Linked DNA regions of Arabidopsis thaliana. The protein of the gene in region 1 purifies or fractionates together with the protein of each later gene. This does not show direct contact. Each region holds a gene or a part of one and is shown in the gene's direction. Other genes may lie near its edges.

Region 1 (12,061 bases):
TAGAAAAGTTGCTTCATTTGAAGTCGGTTGCATTAAGTTATGGTGCTTTCATCGGGCGGAGAGTGGTGTGCTCAAAAGGCGGATTTCCTCAATTATGTGCCCTAGGAATATCTGGAGAATCAGAATTGGAAGAGTGGATAGTAGAAGAAGGGTCGATGCCATGTCTTCGTACTTTGACTATACATGATTGCGAAAAGTTGAAGGAACTTCCTGATGGACTCAAGTACATAACATCCTTAAAGGAGCTAAAGATTAGAGAAATGAAGAGGGAGTGGAAGGAGAAACTGGTACCAGGTGGAGAAGATTACTACAAAGTCCAACACATTCCCGATGTTCAATTTATCAACTGTGACCTGTAGCAGGTAAAAAATAAATTGTATGGTGTTCACTTTGTTTTTTTCTATGTTGTTGTTGGATTCGTGTGAAAGTCATGTGGACAGTCTCAACGACTATACATTGTTCCAGCATCGATCATCTTTGAAATAGATGCAGGAAAGACCAAGAAGCGAGCCAAATTCTCTTATATTGGGAGAGATAGAGGCTGCTTCACAAAAGTCATCAGCTGATCAACAGGTTTTTCCGAAGAATAGCTTATGAAGAATACAGATCCTCAAGTATTAATGATTACGTTTCCAGTCTTGGAGCTCTCGCTTTCAGTGAATCGTTATGTTGTGTAGCTCAGAACTATATTATAGAAACAATGCTTATATTGTTGTTTGTTTTTGATGTGGATGCATGGAACTTGCTTGAGAACTCTTTTACAAAATGGAGAAACGAAACTTGTAAAATTTGGATATTTTCTGTTTATTGTAAAATTTGGATATATTTTAAGAATTGCGTTTTGCTTTCTCGTTTGTGATTTAACCCAGTTCGTTTTGTAAGCTCTATTTACACCATCAAATCTTGTCAGTTTTTTTTGACGTTTTGTTAGTTTTGCACCTCTTTTACTGTGTATACGCAGAGGCAAGACATGGTTGAACCAAGACGAGCAAAACTGATGTACAATAAACAGAATAATCTCATTTCCAAAACTTCTGGCAAAACATTATATTTTCTCAAGGGAACAAAACACACAGACAAGTCGAAACTTTATGGGTTTGTAGCAAGTTTGTTGAAGGCGGCGTGAACTCTCTCTTCCGTGAACAGTCTATGGTTTTCATAGAAATCTAATATCTCCATTGCAATATTCTTCACCTGCCAATATGTTCACAACATTCCGATGAACAACTAAACAAGACCATGCCTTCTAGTAACAACAGAGATAACAGTGCATGGACTTACAATGTTCATGTCGACAGAAAGCTCTTCAAACCATGTCTTTATGTCTTTCTCTTTGTGTACAGAAGCAATGTAAATGCAAGCGAGTGTTATGAGAAACGGCGGATGTATAAGGATGAGGTCCATTCTATATGTGTCGTTGACAAGACCCCTAAAGTTTCCACAACAAAACTTAAAGCATCAAGAGAGCATTTACTTTTTTGCTTGCAAATCAAAACCTGTTTAGGCTCTCTTCCAAGAAGCTTAATGAAGGACAAAAGTTTTGGACACTTACCAAGTTAGATGGGTCATACTAGTGTCATTGATTCCAGAATCCTGCAAGAACCTGCAAGTAATGCAAGAAGGAATAATCAAAACGAAATGCAGAGTATAATGGCAAAAAGATTTCGATGACGACACATATGATCCTAAGCAAACGACTTACTCAGGCAGAGATCGATATGGGTGGAATACAACAAGATAGAAGTTCAATGCTTCCAAGACCTTCATCTCCATTTCCAGAATATCTTTAATCTCATATCGAAACTTTTCATCCGCATCTACAGAGAGTGAAAGCATCCAATCTCATCAGAAACTCAGACAAAAAAAACTCAAGAAAATTTTGGAAGCAGAAAACAAAAAAGAATTTACAAAGTTTTTTCATGTAGAAGACAAGAAGTTTGGCATGCACCACACTCTCTTCTGCTTTGCAAGCCAAATACAAGCATGTAGGAGCAACAAGCCGAGGCTCATATTCCGTCAAACTCTTTCTGTCAAAACACACACAACAGTACCCATAAATCAAATGACCAAGCCTCGTGCTACACAACGATTACCAAAGAAGCCATACCTTGTGTAAACACGACGCATATAGGTTACTGCAGTTGCAACAACTCTGAATCATAAAAGTGCTAAAAATCAGTCAGCATTGTTCAAAGGGTCATAGCACATTCCATATCTCTTTAAGACTAACAACGAAAGACTTCACCTTTGCCTAATCTTAATGTGTTGTGCCAGTTTCGATATATCTGAAATCAAATAACAACAAGGAAAACACGAAAAACATGATTCATGACATTAGAGATGTTAAATCCAATCTGGAAATTAATTAACAAGGTAATCAAATCCAATGAAAACATACAATTAGACATATGAAGCTTAATGAGTCTGAAATCTTCAACAGAGATTCCTCTCTGAGCATCAAGAGGATGAACAACATTAACCTCTTCTGGGTCCTTAAGCTCTTTGCTGTGAAAATAAAACCCACAAAACGAATCAATCAGGAACATGGAAATTGAATTAAAAAAAGACGATCTTTAATCATTGATTGAAACTTACTAGTGCGTCGAAGTCCAGAAATTGGAAGCCATAGCTTCTTTGATCCTTCAACTTCAAAAATACAAGCTTTTTATTTTTATGGTGTGGATAATGAGAGCATAAAGACCACCAAGGAAAAATACAAAACAAAAAAAGTAATAATTCAGTATTTATCTTTTTTGATAGAAAAAAAATTATTTACCAAAAAAAGTTTTTAAAATTCTTATATGAAATCTTTTTTTTTTTTTCATATTTCTCATCTTCATCAATTTGACCTTTGTTTTATTTCACATTTTTGCTTCTACGAGAGGTTTAGGTTTTGGAGAAAATAAAAGGGAAAACAAACCCATTATGATGAACAATTAACAATAATGTTTACTTTAAGATTAATAGGTTTGGTAATAACAGTGTTACATGTTTGCCACAAAGCTAGATGGATGGGCAATTGTGGAAGTCTCTAATCATTTTTTTCTGTGCGATAAGTCTTGGAGATGGAGGTGATTCTCTACAGCTTCAAAGCCAATTTGCTGAAGGCAGAATTCACTTTTTCCTCTGTGATTGTTCTGTAGTTCTCATAGAAGTCCAGTATCTCCATGGCAATATTCTTTACCTGCAACCCATTGCCCCATGTAGAGCTTTCAAAGTCACTAAAGAATACCGAAAATCACGCAAAAGATCATAGCTATTCGCTTTAACTAATGATTGAATAACTTTTAGAAGAATGACTGACCAAGTTCATGTCCTCATGAAGATCTTCAAACCATGCAGTGATATCTTTCTCTCTGTGGACACTTGCTATGTATATGCATGCTAGCGCTATGCGGTAGGGAGGGTGTACAAGAATGAGGTCCATCTTATAAGTATCATTAACAATTCCCCTGAAACACGGAAAATAGGTTTTCAAAATGCTTTTTATACAGGTCAGAGATCTCTTAGATTTTAAGGTTGGAGCTAGGAATTGAGTTCTATGCAATATATCTCATATAGAAGGACTTACCATGTAATCTGGTTCATATTTACATCGTTTAATGCAGCATCTTGCAAAAACCTAGAAATCAAAAGAATGAAGTATTAGAATGAGTGTTGATTTTCTGACCATCAAGGCACACAAAACTCTCACCAAGGAAATATTAAGGTGGTCCAAAATTTTGATATAATGAGAAACATCAAGAACATTGTATGGGAAGACTGCAAGTTTTTACATGTATCATCATTTACACTTCTCCGTTTGTAACCACAGACAATAAGGCAAACATGTTCAAAGCTTCCGAAAAGCGGATAAGAGAGATGAGTGGACATACTCCGATAATGACCGGTAAGGGTGAAACACAACCAGATAATAATCTAGTGCTTCTAACACCTTCATCTCCATTCCTAATATATCCTTTAGTTCATATTTGTTGTACTCATCAGGATCTGCAAAGATATAAGAACCGTTGTCGTCGATATGTCAAAAAAAAGCATATTGAAGGGGAGGTACTCTCATGATTTGAAAAATAAAAAAACAGAAGAAGAAGATATTACACAATCTTTTGATGTAAAAAACAAGATTCCTGGCCTGCACTATGCTTTCTTCAGCTTTAGATGCCAGGTACAAGCACGTAAGAGCAACAAGTCGAGGCTCAAACTCTACCATACTCTTTCTGAGATAGTATAGTAACAAAAGGAAGATATTAGACACCAAAACTGAAAACTTTCGTAACACAGTTAACGTTTTTGATAGCAGAGATGCAACATAGAGAGACACTGGCATGACAAGAATTTAACTCATTTCATTCCTCACATACACAAAGATGCACATTGATGTATACGATCATATCAAAAATACATTGCATACCTGATATAAACCCGTCTCATATACGTAATTGCAGTAGCTACAACCCTACATAAGTAGAAAAACCAAGGCGACGATTCATATACAAGTCCAGGTTACACCAGATATTAGAGCTAGTTAAATCTACAGAAGCAAAACAAAGTAATGGAAGTACTGCAACAGTAGAATCTCTTTGATATAGCAAAAATTGGACCCCCAAATTGTAAAGAACCAACCTTTGCCTCACTTTAATGTGCTGAGCCAATTTCATAATATCTGAAAACAACAATAAATGAAGAAACAAAGAGACATAAACTCAAAAAACTTCTCTGATCAATCTCTAATCAAACCAGTGCAACAGAGACAACAAATTTGCTTAAGTAAGCAGGAGAATTCGAAGAATTAAGAAGAAAAAGGATTTCGTACGATTAGACATATGGAACTTGATGAGCTTAAAATCATCAATTGAGATTCCACGTTCTTTATCGAGATCATGAACTACGTCGACTTCTTCTGGATCCAAAAGCTGTTTACTGTTTCGTACAAACGCAAAAACAAAACAAAAAAATTCGAGAAATTGAAATTAGAAGTTGCTTAGAAGGAGAAGAAGAAGTGAATTTTGATGGGTAAAGTTTTAAAGAACATTTACTAGTGAGATGAATTCCAGAAATTGGCAGCCATTTTTTCCGGTAGACCGTCGAGTCTTTGGTAAGGAGGAGAAGCTTTTTTAGCTCATAAGTTCAACATTTTTCTGTTATCTGTCAAATCTCTTTGGTTGGTGGTCTCATGATCTATCATATCGTTGCTTTTTTCTGAAATTAAATTTAAGGCTCGGCCCATTATCGGCCCAATAGGCAAACAAATGAAAGTATTAACTCTGATATAACATGTTCGTTGTTTTTTGAATAACAGAACATATAGATGATAAAAATTGAAATCTTATAAATAGCTAAGAAGTGACCGAATATATCATTTCGACGAGGTATAATCAGTTTCAAAAGGATTAAATTTGAGTTTGGTTTTTTTCGTCATGATTAAGGCTATAAAAATTCTAGCTTTATATCATCAGCCACACCGAATATTTTTCTCTCACAAGTTTTTGTATCATGTATTGTTCAAACGCTTGATCAGTGATTTTCTTCTAACCATAAGTTTGGGTGTTCATAAAAGAATTTTCAGAAGAACACCACACATTTTTCGTTTGCCTAATATACATGTTCATTTGTTTTATTGAGCCCATACTCCTTTATCAAAACTAACTTTTTTTCTTTAAACATACTAAATTCAAACTAAACTTAGACTAATACATACTCAAATTAACACCCTACATGTTTCTCACGTTCAATATTTGGTACAAGCCAAATAGGTAAACTACAATCTAAAAACGCACGAGAAAAACCGCATGACAAAGGAATAAGCCAAATAAGTTGACTACAATCTAAAAAACGCACGAGAAGAGTATCGATTATCCCGTGTCTAAATTTAATTCCGGTTTTTCGCTATCAAAACAATTCAAGAGGAGTTATTATTCTCTAATTCACCTTATAGAATTCTTTGGGATTATGTGCTAACCCAAGTTAAAATCTAATGTACTCATTAATAAAAGGTAAGTAATATTAAAGTTAGTGGAGAATAAAATCTGTTGAAGAAAGGTGAGGAAGTGCAACGGACCATGTTTGACACGTGAGAGTCAAAAAGGCAATAAAAAAGTCGTCAACACACACACTCTCTCCCCGTCTATATAAACATCTTCTTCACAGTCCCCACAAAGTCCTCTTCCGTTGCCTTTTCGCTTTCTCCGTACACTTGGCCTTCCTTCTAGCGATCAAACCCTAGGTCCCGCCATTGTTGGTCCCAGACTTCAATCGAAGCTCCAATTTCACTAATTTCAGGTGAATCTTCTTCTACTATTTCTCTTCCGTCAGTTTAATGTCACGATTTCGCCGGAAAAATGTGATCTACACTGTTTCGGAGTGAAATGTGAAGTAGATTTCGTTGGTTTCTTAGCTAGTTTGTGCTTTTCTCGAAGTTGTTTCTGTGTTTATTTCATGAAACGATTTTGGGTTGCTTTTGTGAAGTTGATTTTGTTGTTGCCTCTTAGTTCGTTTTCTTGCTTGTTAAGTGTTTATCGAGTCACTATGTGTAGTTCATGAATTACGTTTTCTACGGAAACGATTTTGGAAAGTTGTGTGTGAGATTTAGAGATTTTCTGTTTTTTACATGATTCTTGGGTTGTTCTGTGATTTACATTGATTCTGAGTTTTGACAGTCTTCTATGAATTACAGGTGTTGTTTATTCTCTGGAAGTTGGCGATACAATGGATTCTACTGCTGCAACCAAACGTGTTGTTGACCCACTTACTGTATGTTTTTTCAATTATGGGGTTTCTTCTCCTTTTTACTAGTTGTAATTGTGATTCTTTGTGTGGTTTGTTCTGTTTTTGTTGTTGTTAAAGTGTATTTTTGGGTTTGGTTAATATAGGTTGGGAGTGCGTTTGTCAATCAGTACTACTACATTTTCTGTAACATGCCTGAGCATCTGCCCCGGTTTTATCAAGAGATCAGTAGAGTTGGCCGTGTTGGACAGGACGGAGTCATGCGTGATTTCTCCACTTTTCAAGTAAGTAGTTCTTAGTAGTTTAGTTGGGTTTGGTTGAATGAGGATGAGACTATATCATTTTTATGATGTTAAGGATTAGTAACTAACATGGGGTTGGGCTGGAGTGTCATTTGGTATGGTGGAAATTGGATGGCAGTTTAAGTAACTTGCTAAAAGTGTCTCTCATTGATGCTTATTCTTTGTGCAGGGTATAAGTGAGGAGCTTAAGAGACTGACTTATGGAGATTGCAACTCGGCTGAGATAACCAGTTATGATACTCAAGAGTCTCACAATGGGGGTTTCCTTCTCTTCGTTACTGGATACTTCACTCTAAACGAGAGATCGAGAAGGAAATTCACCCAAACTTTTTTCCTTGCCCCGCAAGAAAAGGGTTTCTTTGTTCTGAATGACATCCTCAGATTTGTTAATGATGATGCTAAGGATAATGTTCCAGAGACCATAGATGGGGAAGTTGTTTCTGGGATAAACTCTACAACACCCACTATTATCAATGGTAAGTTAAACTTATATTTCTTCTAACGCAAATTCTATTCCAATCCTTTTCTTACACTTTAGCTCCTACAGGCATGAAGGGTTCGGAGCAAGCTGCATGTGTTTCAGTGAATCCTGTTTGTAAGGAAGTGTCCAAACCCTTGGATAATGAGAATGCTAAGGATAATGTTCTGGTACCTGAGATTGCTAATGAAGTTGCAAGGACTGAGATAACTTGCAAAGAAGTTGCAGATGATTCACAGAAAAATTATGACCCTGATGATGGACTTGCAGATGCTCCCAAGAAATCCTATGCCTCTGTGGTAAGTAGTCACCCTAGAGGATTCATACTCGATCTTGTTACATCTTATTTTAGGCTTTACTATATCACTTCTTGAGTTTTCTATTGATAATCAATGACTATCATAACAGTTGAAGGTTACGAAAGATAAATTTGGAGTTCCAGCTGTCTCTTTACCTTCTCCAAAGAAGATACCTAAAGACCAAGAACATCAAGCGCCTTCAGATCCTTCTACAGGCCAGATACTCAAAGACCAAGGTCAACAAGCATCTTCAGATCCTTCTCAAGTGATAGAATCTGATACAGTTTCTGAGTCTGTTGATGCTTCTGAAAATGGGCACAATCAGGAAGGTAGTAGTTCACAGTATAGCTGATCCTCAAGTTTTCAATTATAATATTTGGTGGTCTATATTCTCATATCTATTCATGACATGGTTTTATACTTCTTTTGTCTTTTTTATTAGCGGTAGCTGAGGGTACATCTATTTATGTGAGACATCTTCCTTTTAATGCCAACATTGACATGCTTGAGGCTGAATTTAAGCAATTTGGAGCTATTACCAATGGTGGGATTCAAGTCATAAATCAAAGGGTAAGATTGACCAATCAACTAACACTTAAGTATTGGAAGCTTGAATCCTACATATATGACTGGCAGATCTTACATATATTATTGTTCTGAACAATGATAATTTACTGTATGACTGGCAGGGCCTTGGTTATCCTTATGGTTTTGTTGAGTTTGAGGAGGCAGATGCTGCCCACAGAGCAATAGAGGTTTATATTCTAACCTTGAATATAATTTTCACTTTCTTGTTTAGCATTATAGAAAACCGATATGAAATCATCTGAATGATGCAGGCTTCACCTGTGAAGATTGGTGGACTGAGAGCTTTTGTGGAGGAGAAGCTATCGACATCAAGAGGTGAGCAAAGTAGCAAAACGTTGATATGGTAATGTGGAGAAAGAGGATGATGATTGTTTGTTTGCTTGAGTAACAGGTAAAAGAGGAAATGGAAACGTGGGATACGGAAATAGGAATGTGGGAGTGGGAATGAGAGGAAGAGGAAGTTATGGATATGGCTATGATTACAGGAGGGGAGGTCGAGGTCCTGGAGGAGGAGGAAGGTCTTTTAACCGTAGAGGCAATGAATACGTCGCCAGCATCAACTCGTACTAGAGCGGATTTGGGTTCTCTTGTGGCGGATAATTGATTTTTGGAATGGTGGAAAGAAGATGGTAGCAAGACAGACAGAATTGGTAGATATCTCTCTCTCGGGTATTCAAATATTAGTAAAAGGTAAAAAAAAAAAAAAGGATTTGTGGTGATATTATGGCTTATGATATGTAAGACGTTTCTAATTCGACAATCTAAATTTAATGAAATGAATGTGCTTATGCTTTTGTTTTTTGTTTTTTTATTTGATTCTGAACGTGTGGTATACTGGTATTACTGTTCCTTCTTTGACCTAGGAATTTTGACCCGGATGCAGCAGCATGAGCTACTTTTTTACCCAGTATTGAGAAAAAGTGCATTGACGAGATGACATGAGCTGGAAAAACTGAGATATTTCGACTAAACTATATAGCTCAACTAGCCAAATAAGTTTACCGACACTTAGTCGAGTTTAGTTGACTGAGATAGTCTTTGGCTTGATGGTGGTTTAGGTTTCTTGGGAAAGTTAAGTGACCGCTTAACGGTTACTCAGGACTGTTGGATCAGATGGAAAAGATATAACTAAGACAAGTAATTTGAGTCGTTACCAAAACCTAGTCGTTAAGGCCAACAATCTCAGAGGCTACACATAGGAATAGCAAGGTGCGATTTCTATCTTCTTGATATTTAAGATGTCGCGACTCACCAGTTGGTAGAGAAAACAAACTAAGCTAATGTTCAACAATACATTGCTATACCAATCACACTCCATGACTACAAGATTCAAGGCTCAAGAGGTTGGTGTTCTTGGTCTGTTTGTTATCAATGGAGTTCAGGGAATTGCATCTACCACTAGAAAGATCTTAATCACACAACAGTTAATAAAACTGTGGACTAACATTCCAAAAGGATCAAAAACTATAATCTATACACCATTCAATATCCCTCACAAAGAAGGCATCTAAAAAACCACCATATCACCAGCTTGGCCTATAGTATCCAGTTCTTACTTCTCAGTATAACCACCCAGCAAAACGAGAAATCAAAGTAGACTACCATATACAAATCACAATGGAGAAGAATAACACGAAAGCCAAGCTCCTTCTGGCACTTCTACTATCAGGCGCTGAAGGGAGGTATGCACCTGAGGAGCAAAGTGAGGTTATCACCAATAACCAGCAACTCTGGGGTTGGTTTCCTCTTCCACATTATGGCTGGCCCTTTCATAAAAGACGGTTTGGTTATTTTCCTCCCAAAGCTGGCCTCAACAAACAGAACCCCGTGCCCGGATCTCAGACTACAGGTGATGCCAATGTTGCTGCATCCACCAAGTTTCCATGACTAGGTGACGATGCATGCTAGCAAAATGTGACCTTAAGGAGTGAATAACCACAAGGCAGAGCAATAGAGCATCGATTCAAAACCGATTCTATTAGCTTCTGCAATCTATCTTCTGCTACCATTGTACTCTAGACCCAGTGCATGGAGTTCTAATAAATTTCCCTTATTTTTTTTTTATTTTTTTTTTTCACAATAAATTTCCCTTATAATTCCTACTATTTGCTCATACTGACATACATAAATACTTTACGCATTTATCAGCAATGTGAGATGAGAACTGGCATACACGACATGATCAAGATGTAGAATTTTAGTAAAGATTCAATATTAATTTTTTTTTCCATATATCTTATCATCTATCAAGAGAGAAGAGTATCGACTGAGAGGTTTGCAGAGACCTAAATTACATAGAACAACAACTAAAAACAAAGAGTTATTACCAATGATATCCATCGAATGATAGGGCCTTCTGGCTTCTTGATCACTGAATATTTCTCTTCCAACAAAGCAAAATATTCAAAAATACCAAGTCAACGAAGTCCCTTCAATGTTCCAAAGTGAATAGGAGGATAGTCTGATAAACCATTAGACCTGTGAGAATGGAAACCAAATTCCAGTTTAGTTAATTAAGTATACAATTCAAATCTAGTAAATCTCTACAAACGTGGATGATAATATAATCATTGTTTGACCTACAGGGTGGCTGGTGATGTTGCCGGACCACTCATCTAGTGGTTGGAAGGAAAACTCGAATCAGCTCTTTTGCAGTAACCTTTTTCCTACAAGTAGGGCATTTGCCCTGGCGAGATATTGCCATCTTTATACATCCCTTGCAGAAGATGTGACCGCACTTGGTTGACATCTCCTCCGTAAAGGGACACATGCAGATTGGACATGTAAACTTTGGCTCTTCTGGTGGAGGAGCTGGAGCCTTTGATCTAGACACTCTCTACACAAGATAAAAGAAATTGTGAGCTTAGACTAAATCGCATAACTGCACAGTACATGATTCCAGAAATTCACATCTCTCTTACCGAAGACATGTTGACTTCATCATTTACAGAGGCATGCTCACAGTCGATGACAGATTCACTAGAAGGAATCCTTCTGCGTTTGTTGCTTATGTTGGCAGGGAATCTAGTCGTACCTCCTGCAAACACAAAGTAAAATCCATCCATCAAACTCTCTGTCTCTCCCTACTACTTGAGACATGACATTGAACCAGAAGAGTAAAATTTCTTTTCACAATAGATAAAAACTGACCTGACTCTACATCAACCATCAAAGGTCTCCGACGTGCATTTCTTGATTTGCTTTTAGCCTGGTATCAAAATAAAACAAAATCAGTGAACCTACTACACAAACAAATCCTATCCATCACTGCAAAAATGAGAAACTAAAAGATAACAGAAATCAAACATACTTCAGCAAAAGCACTAGCGGATGATTCAATAACATCATCCTCAATAGCATCGACATCAATCATCGTAGGAGCAGGCTGAGACGGTGTAATAGGCACCGTAAGAGTTCTAACAGAAGCAGAGGTCCCTTCTTGATCAACAGGTACCGCATTCAGATCAATCACAGCTTTCCTCCGTCGATTTCCTCGAGGTACTCTCACCTCTGACGTGTTCATCTTTCAGCTCAAAGTAACTAACCTTTGTACCTGTAAGTTTCAACCAAACAATAAAACAATCTAATTTACTCCTCAAAGTCTTATATACAAACTCAAATCATTGCAAGCAAGATAATATAATTTCCGTGAATAATCTCAAAATGTATAG
Region 2 (12,197 bases), on another chromosome or scaffold:
TCAATGCAACATGCGCGCCTATGTAACACACCCATCAAATCCATAACCGTAAAGGGAAGAAAAGCTCACTCACCTGAACAGTTATGAAGTGGCGAGTCAGATCAAATGGTGAAGAGGCAAAAACATTCAATCACTTGAATACTGATGAATATAGAAAAACACAATGGAGGTTTTTTAATGAATGACGCTGAAAAGAGAGAATAACAACGAATCAGAAACTCACTTGAATACTGCTGCTCTTTAACTGATAAGGAAACAAACAATCACGAGGCAAAAACATTTATTCACGGCAGCTTTAAGGCTTGCTTCACTTGTGCAAGCGCCGATGGGTGCATCCTACTAATGGCAGAATTAAAGGCATCTCCATGAAGTGTAGAACATGTCTGAAGGTTCTCACGCGTTGAGTTCTCTAGTGACATCTGGTAGATTGGGTCGGAAACTTTTATCTAAATAAGATCCAACCCCCCAAAAAAGAAGTGTAATAAATCAGTGGTTTTGTAGAAGCTGGTTCTTCAAGAAACCCATATTTTAAATTAACTTTTACCTGACTTTTCCGTAACTCTTTGCTTGGCGGGGTTTCTTCTCCTTGAGACCTGCTTGAACTCATGTCACCGCTGGAATTATAAATTGTGTGTTTCTTAATTCTTAGTGTTGTGAACAGTTCAATAACAAATAAAAAAAGTCACTTAAAATTAATTTAATAATGTTATGTAATGTAAGTAATTAAAAAAAGTATCTGACCTTGATTCTTCTTCTGTTAAATCTTTGTTTTCACCAAGGATCACACTGGTGCATGTACTGTTTCCAGAAACGCGATAAATTATATCACAAAGATACATAAGTCAAACTGTTAATTCTCGACTGTGCAAACCTGTACCTTAGTATTAGATCAAGCTTGTCAAGAACTTGGGGCATTCTAAGTGTAAGTATTATGGAAAGAGCCAAGCCAAATGTCTTTTGTTGCATGGGAGACGCATGGTCCACCTGCACGAGTAGATGCAAGACTAAAGTGCGTCAGATAATGAAAAAGAAACATGCATTTCAACATGTAGAGCAGTTTGACAATGAGATATTGCTTAGGATTCAAGAAAAAGACCATGTAAAGACATGAAACAAGTTAATATTCCATTATCTGAAAGTTAATAGTCTAGAAAGCTATTCGAACAACCAGTAATGTTCAAGATGTGTTCTTCACTGACCTTGTCGAGCCAAATGTCGATGAGGCAAAGGAGTATATTGTCTTCGACTGGGACACCTGCCTGTTGGAGTAACACTGAAAGAGATGAATCAGATGTTAGCTGGGCCAGGTAAGTGGTGTTCATCACCAGAATCCTTGCAAGGATAGCTGCTGAAGACACTTTAACTGCAGTCTTGGATGGATCACGGTCATCTCCACCACTCAAGCAAATAATCACCAGTTTCTGCGAGAAAACGAACAAACCAACTCCATCAGATGCATTAAGGAAGAAAATGGATTTTGCATCCATCAAAAGAAGACTAGAAAAATTCACCTGCAAACAGCTGCTGATGAGAGGGGGCACTTCCACAGGAAAACACTGCTCAATACACAAGCACATGTTCATATCAAGAAGTTAAACTTGGCGTAATTTGCAACACATTTATAGAGAGTCATGACAAAAAATTCCAGTGTAATCATGCCAAAAGTTCCATTACTGGTCAATATATATGTATCCCAAGAGATGAGGCTATGTAATACAAAAATAAATGCAGTCTAGATACAAACTTAACAGAAGAATAAGTATCTCTGGAACTTAAACACCATCACAATAAGGATACGACCAATTGGGAAAATGGGAAATTATACGCACCTGAACTAAGATGTCAATCACTGGAAGAATCGAGAGTAAACCCTTATCATTTACATTTCCAACGATAAGATCAAGAATTTTTGCGACACTTGAAGCATGCATATTTAGAAATTCTCCTCCATCCAAAATGATATACGAATCCATGATACTGACAGCAACCTATATATGGTCATTTGAATGTCTCAAGACGTAACATGTTGAAGTAAATCTGAACACACACATGTATAGGTCATTAATGAATCAAACAACTCCTTGAAAACTTAAAAAGCTCACCTGTAAATGATCAAAACTTCTTTCAATGATCTCCACCATATAGGGAAACAATGCTAATAGCTGGGGCACCATCATAGGAGCATAGGAAAGTGTGGTTTCCCATAACTGCATATGTAGAGCAGTGTTATTAATATATAGCGCATTTGTATCAGCAGAAAAGAAAGGTATACATGTTATGATATGGAAACTTACTGCCATGCTATCCTCCAGAAGGTTGAGTGAATCAGGGCTATTTATGTCAATGCCCTTTTGGAGTATTGGGAGCAGTATGCTATAGCAAATGGGAGACTGATAACCAAGTGCAATCACAAAATTTCGCAGTGCGACAAGAAGCTGGATCTGCAGAAGGCTTTCACCAGAAGATTCCTCCCAAACCTGTTCTTAAGTCAACCACATAGATAGTCAGCTATAAATTGCGGACCAAGAAAAGAAAAAACAAAAAAACAAATCCACAAAGAAAGCTAGTATACCTTCTGGAAGAATTGCACCAACTTTTGTGCGTACGGAATGACTTCGCTAACATGGCCAATAAGAGTAGAAATCAAATTCAGAATTTGAACCTGAGAATAGTTAGATGTTGTATGAGTCATCGAAGGAAGTATAATGGCAAGAATGGAGTGCTATAATGAATTTGAGGCAGCTACATCAAGTACCTTCGAATCAAACTCTTGAACTACCTCGACCATTTTGAAACATGAATCCCAACAGATTGGAAGAAGATCAAGAAAACTTTGCTCCGAAAAATTTGCATCCTCGACATGTAAGCATAATGACCTACTAGCTGCCAGCTACATAAGTAAACAGATGATCTCAGAGGTCACCAATACATATAAAGAAAAAAATGAGAGAATGTGCCCTTAATGCAAGACAGAAAGATAAAAGAAACAAAGATGAGATAAGATGAGACTACCTTTACAGCGAGGTCATTGTCTTGCAACAATTTGATCAAAGCACAATAAACTGCTCTTTTTGTGTCATCCTTAATCTGAAAGGTTGTAATCATCAACCATTTACCATTAGCCAACCATTTTTCAACCAAAATCTAATTGACGAAAACTAGGGTAGAGAAGAGAACACAAACCAACAGGGTAACTAACCCTAATAGCCATTTGTAACAAATAACCAGAAACAATTCTGCTTTTAGATGGCTATCCCTCATTGACTCAACTTATGGACAAGATATTATGTCAATTTGCAAATTATGTTATAATCTTAAGATGCTTTTAGAAAAAAAGATAAGATGTGATTTCCTCCAAAGCCTTGTCAAGCTTAGCTGCATAAACATGGTAAAGCCGGTGTAAAACAAGTAAACAGCAGTACCTCCGAAACCCAATGTCCCAATATCATAGCAACTTTTCGGTGGATGATACGCCTATTTGGATGGTCATTTGAGAGTTCAAGGGATAGAGCACCATTAAACCTGCAGCCAATCATCCGATCATTAAGAAGGGTACAATAATTACTTGACTAATCAAAACTTTTGTCACATTCTGCTGGCTAGCAAAATGAAGGGTCAAGATGTTTAGAGCAGATGGAAAAAAGATTCAGACATTAGAAGATCAAGAGCATACCAATCTCTGAAATTAAGATAATTCGAGAGCTCATAGTAGACATATGCAGTAGCAGCGTATGCCGCATCTTTAAGAAGCAGTGCAGGAGTTATTTCAGTAACAGAAGGGGGACAATTATTCATTGCTTCTTGAAGGATGGACACAACAATAGGTCCTAGCAGCTGTCCACAATTATAGAGACAGATGGAATACGCATCAGTTATAGCGTTTAATGATATCTATATCAATTAGCAGACTTCTTTTCAGAACAGGATGAAGTGCCTAAGACTATTTGCTACTTACTTGGCTGTAGTTCTCAAACAAAACCATATATAGAGCTTCAGCACAAGGCCTCAATTTCTCTGTCCACTGAATCATGTCCTGCTCATGATGAAAGGACTCAGGGTTCTGGTACCACTCCTCTAGGTCACTTGCTGTTAGTACAAAATACCTGTTGGAATGTCGATGGTTAATTTCAGTAAACTTTTCTTCCAGGCATCATTCATACAACGACCATGACACCATCACAGTTCACAACACAATAAATGAACTTAATGCATGCAATAATTTTCAAACTAGCTCCACTAGGCCCCGACAGTAACATTGCCTTCTCATTTATTCCATGCACGCAGCAAGAAGAGATTGAGACCAGAGATACATAGATGTACAGCAACTAGATCATTATGTGTCCACAAGATTGCCCCAGCTCATATTATGTTTTGGATTTTGCATTGGTATTGAAATTTATGTATTATCAAATTAACTAATAAGAACTAAGGCATGAAATAATATGAATATAACAGGGCCACAGTTTGGTAACTAAGAGAGACCCAAAAATTTGAATTCACATATCTTACTGTTAGTTAAGAGTGTTACCGTCTCACTAGTACGTTGCAGAGAAGAACTATCCTTTCATTGGGTAAAAGTGACGACACAATGCCACCAACTGTGTTGGAAGCATTCTTCTTCCTCTGCTCAAATGTATCTCCGTTGTCATCCATCACACGACCAGTTCGACTTGGCTTATATTCTTTACATTCAAGCACAGATTTCACCATCACCATACACTGAATAAAAAAATCTTCAAATGGCAACAATGCCTGTTCGGGGTCCGTTATCTTGTTTAAGCAGAAATCCACTACAACTGGAAGAGCACATTTATCTCCAAACGAAAATGGATGCCTGCTTTGAATAGCACCTAACACCTTCATCAGCTTGACACATGCCTTCTTTACAAACTCCCAGAATTTAGGATCTCGATTTTGAAAAGATGAATCTGCATGGAGGCTCCACACAAGTTAGCAATACATACATATATATGTGTGCTGACAGGTCATATGCATGAAAAAGAGTTTCCACCACACAAAAAAACTCACAATATGGAAGAAAGGATTGAGCCGCATTCAAGAGCGCAGGAGAGACTTCTTTCACTGGTTGTATCTCCTGAGAGAAACGAGTTAGCTGTATATTCTTTTATCTGCATGAAGAGCATATGCCGGAGAGCAAGAAAGATTTCTCTATCCCGATGTAGTCAACCAATCTATTAAGGTTATGATTTCAACTTAACCATTGGAAGATAGCAGAAGAAATGGAAAGTGCGGGGAACGGAACACATATTTGGCGAAACTATACCACAAGTTCATAGAAGGGAGATAGCTGAAGGTGAATGTGATAATGAACTAAAAAGATTCATGAAAAAGTATAGTGTATCTACCTGTATATTATTGGCATCGCTTAGAAATCCTGAAATTATCAGTTGGCGCACTATTTTCAAACATAAAAACCACCTCTCACAAGTCAGAAAAAGCTCATCGTGATGCTGCTCGGCACTATTTGAACCATAGCTCTGAACCATTGTTGAAAAGCCATGTAGAATTGTTTGGACATCAGTTTGCCAAAGGTGCCAACTAAAGTCGAAGAATTGCGACGAGATCTGCCAACAAATTAAACTGGACCTTATCCTTAACTAAAGCAAAAAACGAAGCTTTGGTCCAACAATAAATTCATTCAAGAGGAGAAAGGAAACTGATAAGGGGTTGATGTTAGTAGCAGACTCACCTCAGCGAAGGTCTTCTGATCCGCAGTGAGACGTTTAGTAGACAATTCCTTTAAGGTTCGAAAAAGAATCAGAAAGATTCTGTGAGAAGCCAGAACGTCAGCTGAGTGAAGCTGTTGCGCTAGTACCGAAAAGAGATCAGGCCTGATATCATGAAGCACGCAATGCATAAACTCAGTAAATCAAGGAAGATAGTGTCCAGTTAATATGAATTAAGAAGGGAAAATGCTGACCATTCCCTAGGATAATCAAAACGGGCTATCTTCGATATGAGAACAGCCAACATTTCCGCTATCTGCAATAAAGCAAACAAAGTCAGATAGATATGCTTACAAAGTATATGCCTCAAATGGTGTAGTCAAGGAAAAAAATCAAAAGTAAATGCTACAACACCTGGTAGTTCTCTTCTCTCAAGTGAGACAACAATTTCTGCCTCAGATGACTCTTTTCCTCGTTGCTCATACTCCTGTAAGAATTGCCAGAAAGAGTGTCAAGGCCTAACATACAGGGTAGTATCTTTGCAGAGCGAAGAATCTAAACGAGCCAGCTAAAAAGAATTATAAGTAGAATTGCCGATTCCGGAAACAACTTGAACTTACCATGAATTTCTTCTGCTCTTCCAATGACGGTTGATACTGTTCTTGAAATACACTGAGGCCATTAATCTAACGTCCACATGGGACACCAAATCCTTGGATGCAATTACTTCCTGCAACCAAACCAGAGGAAATGAGCGAGTAAAATCAAGCTGACATTTGCAGAAACCACAAGACACATAGATTAGAAACGCTACCATAAGGCAAGAACAGAAACCAGGTCTACTCTCCGACAGAGATAGAGCCGCCTCCGCCGGCCGCCGAACGGTCTCGTCACCGCTCATTGAATTAGCTAATAGCGTGTACATCGCCGGCAAATCGGAAGCCGATAACGCCATCAGATCCGACGATATTGTTGACCTAATTAACCAAGGAAACGTCGAGGATGAACCCTAGAGGTTTGTTACGACGACGATAAAATCTCACGGCGAAGGAAGGAAAACGCGAAGCTAGTAGAGACAGAGAAGAGAAGAAAGATCGTCTTCTTCTTCCTCCGTCTTTCAACTTCTCTTAAGCTCTTGAAACGTAACAATGTCACTAGTGAAAATGATTTCCTCTTTTTTTTTTAACAGTCGAAGAAAAAAGAAATACTTACCGTCGCTCTGATCGGATTCCGATCACCCAACCGGAGACTTTCGTTTTGGGCTAACTACAGATTATTGGGCCTATAATAAATAAGCCCAAATTAATAATCGCGCGTGATCTTAACGGCGCGTGAACGCAAATAAACAACGATCGCTCGTGTTTGCTAAAATCTTATTGGTGGAGATACGTGGGATTGCATCAAATTTGCCACGTATGATACCCGCCTTAAATTGAGAACGGGAAGCAACCGGAATTTATTTTCAGGAAATACGAAACAACCCCTGCTAGTTTTTGAAGTGAGTAATTGCCCCTACCAATTTCTTAATCCAATTGACAATTTTGGTGTCTTTTGTAAGACTATTAAATATGGGGAATACTCTAAATTAATTAAAATATATATGTCATTCGAGAAATTTCCTTTTTTTCCTTTAAACCCTGCGAACCTATTTAATGATGTCCTTCTCGATTTTTCTCGAAGCGTTGAGTTTCGTGAATAAGACACGCTTAGAAGAGGAAGAAGAAGATTCGTTGACAACAAAACAATAAAAGAGAAAAAGATTGAGAGGTTGTACTTTCGGGATGGTGAGAACAAGATTGGCGATATCTGTTGTTCTTGTGTCGACATTGTTGTTGTTGAATGTGAAAGCGAAGAGCGTTGATCCTTACAAGGTACGGTTTGTGATTCATCTTGTTTTCTTTCCATTCACAAGTCTTTTGATTGGGGCCGGAAATAATGATTACTTTTGATTGTCCCCTTTCTCATTGAAGTTTGGGCTGACAAATTTGTGGGTGTTATAGAAAAGAAGGATTTTTGATATATTAGGTTTTGCTCAGTAGTTTTTGCTATTGATTATAAACATTATTAACTAATGAATGCATCTTCAGGTTCTTGGAGTATCTAAGGATGCAAAGCAGCGTGAAATCCAGAAAGCTTTCCACAAGTAAGCACCCTTCGTTTCTAGTCGCTGATTAAGCTAATAATTCGAATGATGATCAACAAATAGTTTACTCATGTAGCTTGTGATTTTTTTTGGCAGGCAATCTCTGAAATATCATCCAGATAAAAACAAAGATAAGGGTGCTCAGGAGAAGTTTGCTGAGATTAATAATGGTAGGTATCAAATTTCCCTAGGAGATGTGTCCTGTAATCGAATCTTTTAGTATATTATAAGATTATTCTTGTTCTATGGCCATGTGTTTGTGGCACAAATTGAATTTTTGTTGATCTGGCTTTGACAAGTTTAAACCCTTATCTATGTGTAACAGCGTATGAGATCTTATCTGATGAAGAGAAGAGGAAAAACTATGATCTTTATGGAGATGAGAAAGGACAGCCTGGATTTGATTCGGGGTTTCCCGGAGGTAATGGTGGGTATTCTTACTCCTCAAGTGGTGGTGGTTTCAACTTTGGAGGGCCTGGTGGTTGGCAAAATATGGGCGGTGGGGGAGGTTCCAAATCGTTTTCTTTCTCGTTTGGCGGTCCTAGTGAAAGCTCCTTTGGTTTTGGTATGGATGATATCTTTTCCATGTTTTCGGGCGGTAGTTCTAAAGGAAAGGAGCAGTTTGGTGGCTTTGGTAGCTCATCGAATGCTGAATCTAAATCAAAGAGCAGTACTGTAGCAGCTATCAAAACCATTAACTCTCAGGTCTATAAGAAGGACGTTGTGGACCAAGGGATGACTTGGCTTTTGTTGTCGTATCTTCCATCTCAGAGGGGAAGCCAGTACCATGAATCCATCATAGAGGAAGTTGCTGAGTCGTTGCAAGGAGCTTTAAAGGTAAAACATATGCTTGTCAAGTTAGTTGATTTTGGGTTTTCTGTTTCGTTCTTAAAAGAAGAAGTGTAGTTTCTTTTGTTGTTTACGTGATTTAACTTTATGTTTACAGGTTGGGCGATTAAATTGTGAAACAGAATCCTCTCTTTGCAAACAACTAGGCATAGTTCCTCGTAGGGCTCCAAGGATGTTTGTTTATTCATACACATCAAGTGGCAAAGCTACCTTAGCAGAATATACTGAAGAGCTTGTTGCAAAGAAGGTGAAAAGCTTCTGCCAGGAACATCTACCGAGATTCTCAAAAAAGATTGATCTGAATACATTCGATGTATCTGCCGTTAGCTCACAAAAGACTCCTAAAGTTTTGCTTCTGTCAACAAAGAAAGACACTCCTGTCATCTGGCGGGTTCTAAGTGGCTTGTACAATGGACGATTTGTCTTTTACAACACAGAGGTTTGTTATATTTTGGCTTTAATTTCCACTTACATCACTATTCCTACAATTATTGTTACTGCGAGAGTCTGATGGTCGTAGAAATTATGGGGTGGTTCCCTGGTCCACGTTTAATGACGAGTCAGCAAATTTGAACTTAATTATTAGAATTCCTTAGACATGAAATCTTTTTAGCTAAAGTATTTTTTTCTCATGATCTTGTAGGTCCATGATACTTCTGATCCAAAGATACAAAAGTTGGGGGTAGACAAGTTTCCGGCAATAGTTGGTTGGTTATCGAATGGGGAGAAGCAAGTCTTGAAAACAGGTATCACTGTGAAAAATCTGAAATCAGCTGTCCAGGAACTTGGTAAATTGCTTGAAGGATTAGAGAAGAAGAACAAGAAGGTCTCTTCTAAGAGTCAGGCGGGCCAAGCCCCTAACGAGTCCTCAGAAAAGATACCTCTTCTGTCAAGACCAAATTTTGACTCCATTTGTGGGGAGAACACTCCTGTTTGTATCATTGGTGCCTTCAGATCGTCAAATGGTAAAGAGAAGCTGCAGTCAATAATGTCCAAGGTAAACAAATATATCACTACCTCTATACTCTATTTATATGCCTTTGGCTCAGTATGATAGTTAAACACGGTTCTTTGATAAATTTCAAGAAGTGAAGCGGTGTTCTTTCTTCAAGCCATTACTCTTTTGGTTCTTTGACTTGATGATGAATAATCCTCCGGCTCTATTCTTTGTCCAGGTATCCCAGAAATCACTCTCTCGACGACAAGCTTCAACCACAGGTTCTCAGGACACAGTATCCTATTCGCTTCTAGACGCAACAAAACAATCTGCGTTCTTGAGCTCCCTTGACAAATCAGAGTTCAAAACTTCTTCTGATAAGCTCCTAATAGCTTACAAGCCTCGACGAGGTAAGTTTGCTACATTCAAAGGCGATATGACTATTGAGGAAGTTGAGAAATTCGTAGCAGCTGTTCTTAACGGAGACATACAGTTCACAAAGACAAGACAGAAACCCCAGATCAAATGAAAGTTTTTTTTCATCAGACATTAGTTTCAGAGATGTACATCGTTTTGGAGGAGAAAAGGGTGATTTTTCACGTTTCCTGTGTTGCAATCTGCTTTTGACAGTAAGTTTGTGTATTGTCAAGAGACGTGAAACAGTTCTATAGGACTAGAATTATGTCATTGTACTGAGTACTGACTACTGAGTTCTTTGTAATTATTACAAATTATAAATATGAAAATGTTGGGGTTTTGACTTTGAACCCCAACACACTTCTGAAATTAGAGACCGGTAAAAACAGTTTAAAAGCCGCAGTGACCCTGATTTACTCCAGTTAACCACACTCTATAGACAAGTTAGAGTGTTACTTTTTGGCAGAATAACAGTTTAAAAGCCGCAGTGACCTTCGGGCCTTTGACCGCGAATCCAACGGTCACGAACCGGAAGAAACCAGACTAAATCCGCGACACGAACTTTTTGATTGAACCGGCTAATTTATGGTACCAGCTAAACCTTGTAGAGCAAAAGAGAAACCCTGATTCTTCTTCTTCACATCGTCGCGAGCTCTGGTTCTCTGCTCTCATCCGCTTCACAAAATTGATTTGCGAGTCGTTGTGTTCCAACTCTCATTCTTTTGCACCTGGATTTCTTCCATTTTCAGGTTATTACAATCACGTTAGATTTTGCGTTTTTTTTGTTTTCACAGTCCTGTGGTCGATTTCGATACGGTTCGATTAGGCTTACACTTCAGATTAGTTTCATCTTTCAGTTCCATGAATCGATTAGGTTTAGTTCACTAATTTTAGCATGGTTTGAGATTAGATTTAGAAAACCCGATTCATTAACTGGTTGACAATGCTGTGGTTTTAGACTGTAGTGTTTGATCTAAAATGGTTTTCTGTTTGATATAATCGTATTGGTTGTATTTTAAATCTCATTTAAATGATGTATCAACTATAAAGCCTTCTGGTTTTGTTGCAGATAGATGGTTCTATGAATGTTGCTGAGAATCAGATATTAGTTAGGCCATCTTGGACATGGGAATCCAGAATATTTTATGGCAAGTGGCGAAGAAATCATTCACTGGAAGTATTATAGGGCTTACCATTTCAGATAGATGTTGTAGCGTTGTTCCAGTGAGAGGAGATTCCATGTCTCCCACATTTAATCCCCAGCGGAATTCTTATTTAGGTAAGTGTCCTACTGCACAAACTGCTAGAAGGTAGACTTTTGCTTATTTTGGTCCATTCTTCTTTCTTATTAGATGTTCAAATGTTGATGCAGATGATTATGTACTTGTGGACAAATTTTGCCTTAAGGATTACAAGTTTGCGCGTGGTGATGTTGTAGTGTTCAGGTATGTTCCCTATAATGCCACATTTGAGTCATCCTTTGACAAGGGAAGATTATAGCTACATAATACTTAAATACATGTTGATCTCTTGTTTAAACCTTTTCTTGGATGCTTACAGCATTCACAATTTTATTAAATCTAATTCCCTAAAACCTTACAAATGTTTGTTGTCCTATTTGTGGTGCTGAACCATGAAATTCGTGCATATTCAATCTCTGGTACATTTGATATAATGTATTTGGTCATGAATACAAACTCTTTGGATTCTATTCTTGCTTTTTGCTTCCTTTAGCTCAGCTTTTTCAGGTCTCAAATCTGTTTTATAATGTTCATCTGACATTGTGCCGTATGTGTTCTAAGTTGTATATTTTGAAATACATCATTAAGCTCCTGACGATGTGAACTGCATCTCTGTGGCAGCTCTCCGACACATTTCGGAGATAGATACATAAAGAGGATAGTCGGGATGCCTGGTGAATGGATAAGTAGTTCTCGGGATGTGATCAGAGTCCCAGAAGGTCATTGTTGGGTAGAAGGAGATAACAAAACTTCCAGCTTAGACTCAAGATCCTTTGGCCCTGTAAGTTCTCTGCTTCCAAACCCCAGCACATAGTTTCATAGAATTAGAACGTAGATGATGCACATGATATTCTTTTCAAGGCCTGTCCCATGTGACTGATCTGGATAAACTTGTTTTGGCAGATTCCTTTGGGTTTAATTCA

What was found.
Region 2: the proteins of AT5G48650 (region 1) and ATERDJ3A fractionate together in Arabidopsis thaliana (co-fractionation; one large-scale study listed by BioGRID). This does not show direct contact.

What each region holds. Positions count from the first base shown.
Region 1 is NC_003076.8:19,720,574-19,732,634, forward strand, and holds AT5G48650 (Nuclear transport factor 2 (NTF2) family protein with RNA binding (RRM-RBD-RNP motifs) domain-containing protein), read left to right. Parts: upstream 1-6,098; 5' UTR 6,099-6,279; intron 6,280-6,673; 5' UTR 6,674-6,705; coding exon 6,706-6,750; intron 6,751-6,869; coding exon 6,870-7,007; intron 7,008-7,194; coding exon 7,195-7,501; intron 7,502-7,572; coding exon 7,573-7,802; intron 7,803-7,911; coding exon 7,912-8,131; intron 8,132-8,244; coding exon 8,245-8,372; intron 8,373-8,491; coding exon 8,492-8,557; intron 8,558-8,641; coding exon 8,642-8,705; intron 8,706-8,781; coding exon 8,782-8,960; 3' UTR 8,961-9,191; downstream 9,192-12,061. Other genes in the region: AT5G48620 (Disease resistance protein (CC-NBS-LRR class) family), read left to right, coding at 1-359; AT5G48630 (Cyclin family protein), read right to left, coding at 1,090-1,194, 1,282-1,429, 1,553-1,603, 1,703-1,817, 1,909-2,027, 2,108-2,152, 2,246-2,285, 2,399-2,546; AT5G48640 (Cyclin family protein), read right to left, coding at 3,080-3,184, 3,305-3,452, 3,572-3,622, 3,876-3,990, 4,099-4,217, 4,412-4,456, 4,624-4,663, 4,814-4,920 and 1 more; AT5G48655 (RING/U-box superfamily protein), read right to left, coding at 11,002-11,226, 11,312-11,427, 11,541-11,598, 11,701-11,913.
Region 2 is NC_003074.8:2,730,121-2,742,317, forward strand, and holds ATERDJ3A (DNAJ heat shock N-terminal domain-containing protein), read left to right. Parts: upstream 1-7,176; 5' UTR 7,177-7,185; exon of another isoform or gene 7,186-7,236; intron 7,237-7,332; exon of another isoform or gene 7,333-7,367; 5' UTR 7,368-7,468; coding exon 7,469-7,558; intron 7,559-7,774; coding exon 7,775-7,830; intron 7,831-7,926; coding exon 7,927-8,000; intron 8,001-8,155; coding exon 8,156-8,667; intron 8,668-8,776; coding exon 8,777-9,118; intron 9,119-9,322; coding exon 9,323-9,676; intron 9,677-9,854; coding exon 9,855-10,145; 3' UTR 10,146-10,429; downstream 10,430-12,197. Other genes in the region: AT3G08960 (ARM repeat superfamily protein), read right to left, coding at 285-446, 545-614, 742-798, 878-984, 1,200-1,421, 1,512-1,556, 1,830-1,988, 2,103-2,207 and 15 more; AT3G08980 (Peptidase S24/S26A/S26B/S26C family protein), read left to right, coding at 11,159-11,312, 11,406-11,478, 11,896-12,055, 12,178-12,197. UniProt on the Arabidopsis thaliana protein: Regulates protein folding in the endoplasmic reticulum (ER) lumen. Functions probably as a co-molecular chaperone that is required for normal growth of pollen tubes under high-temperature stress.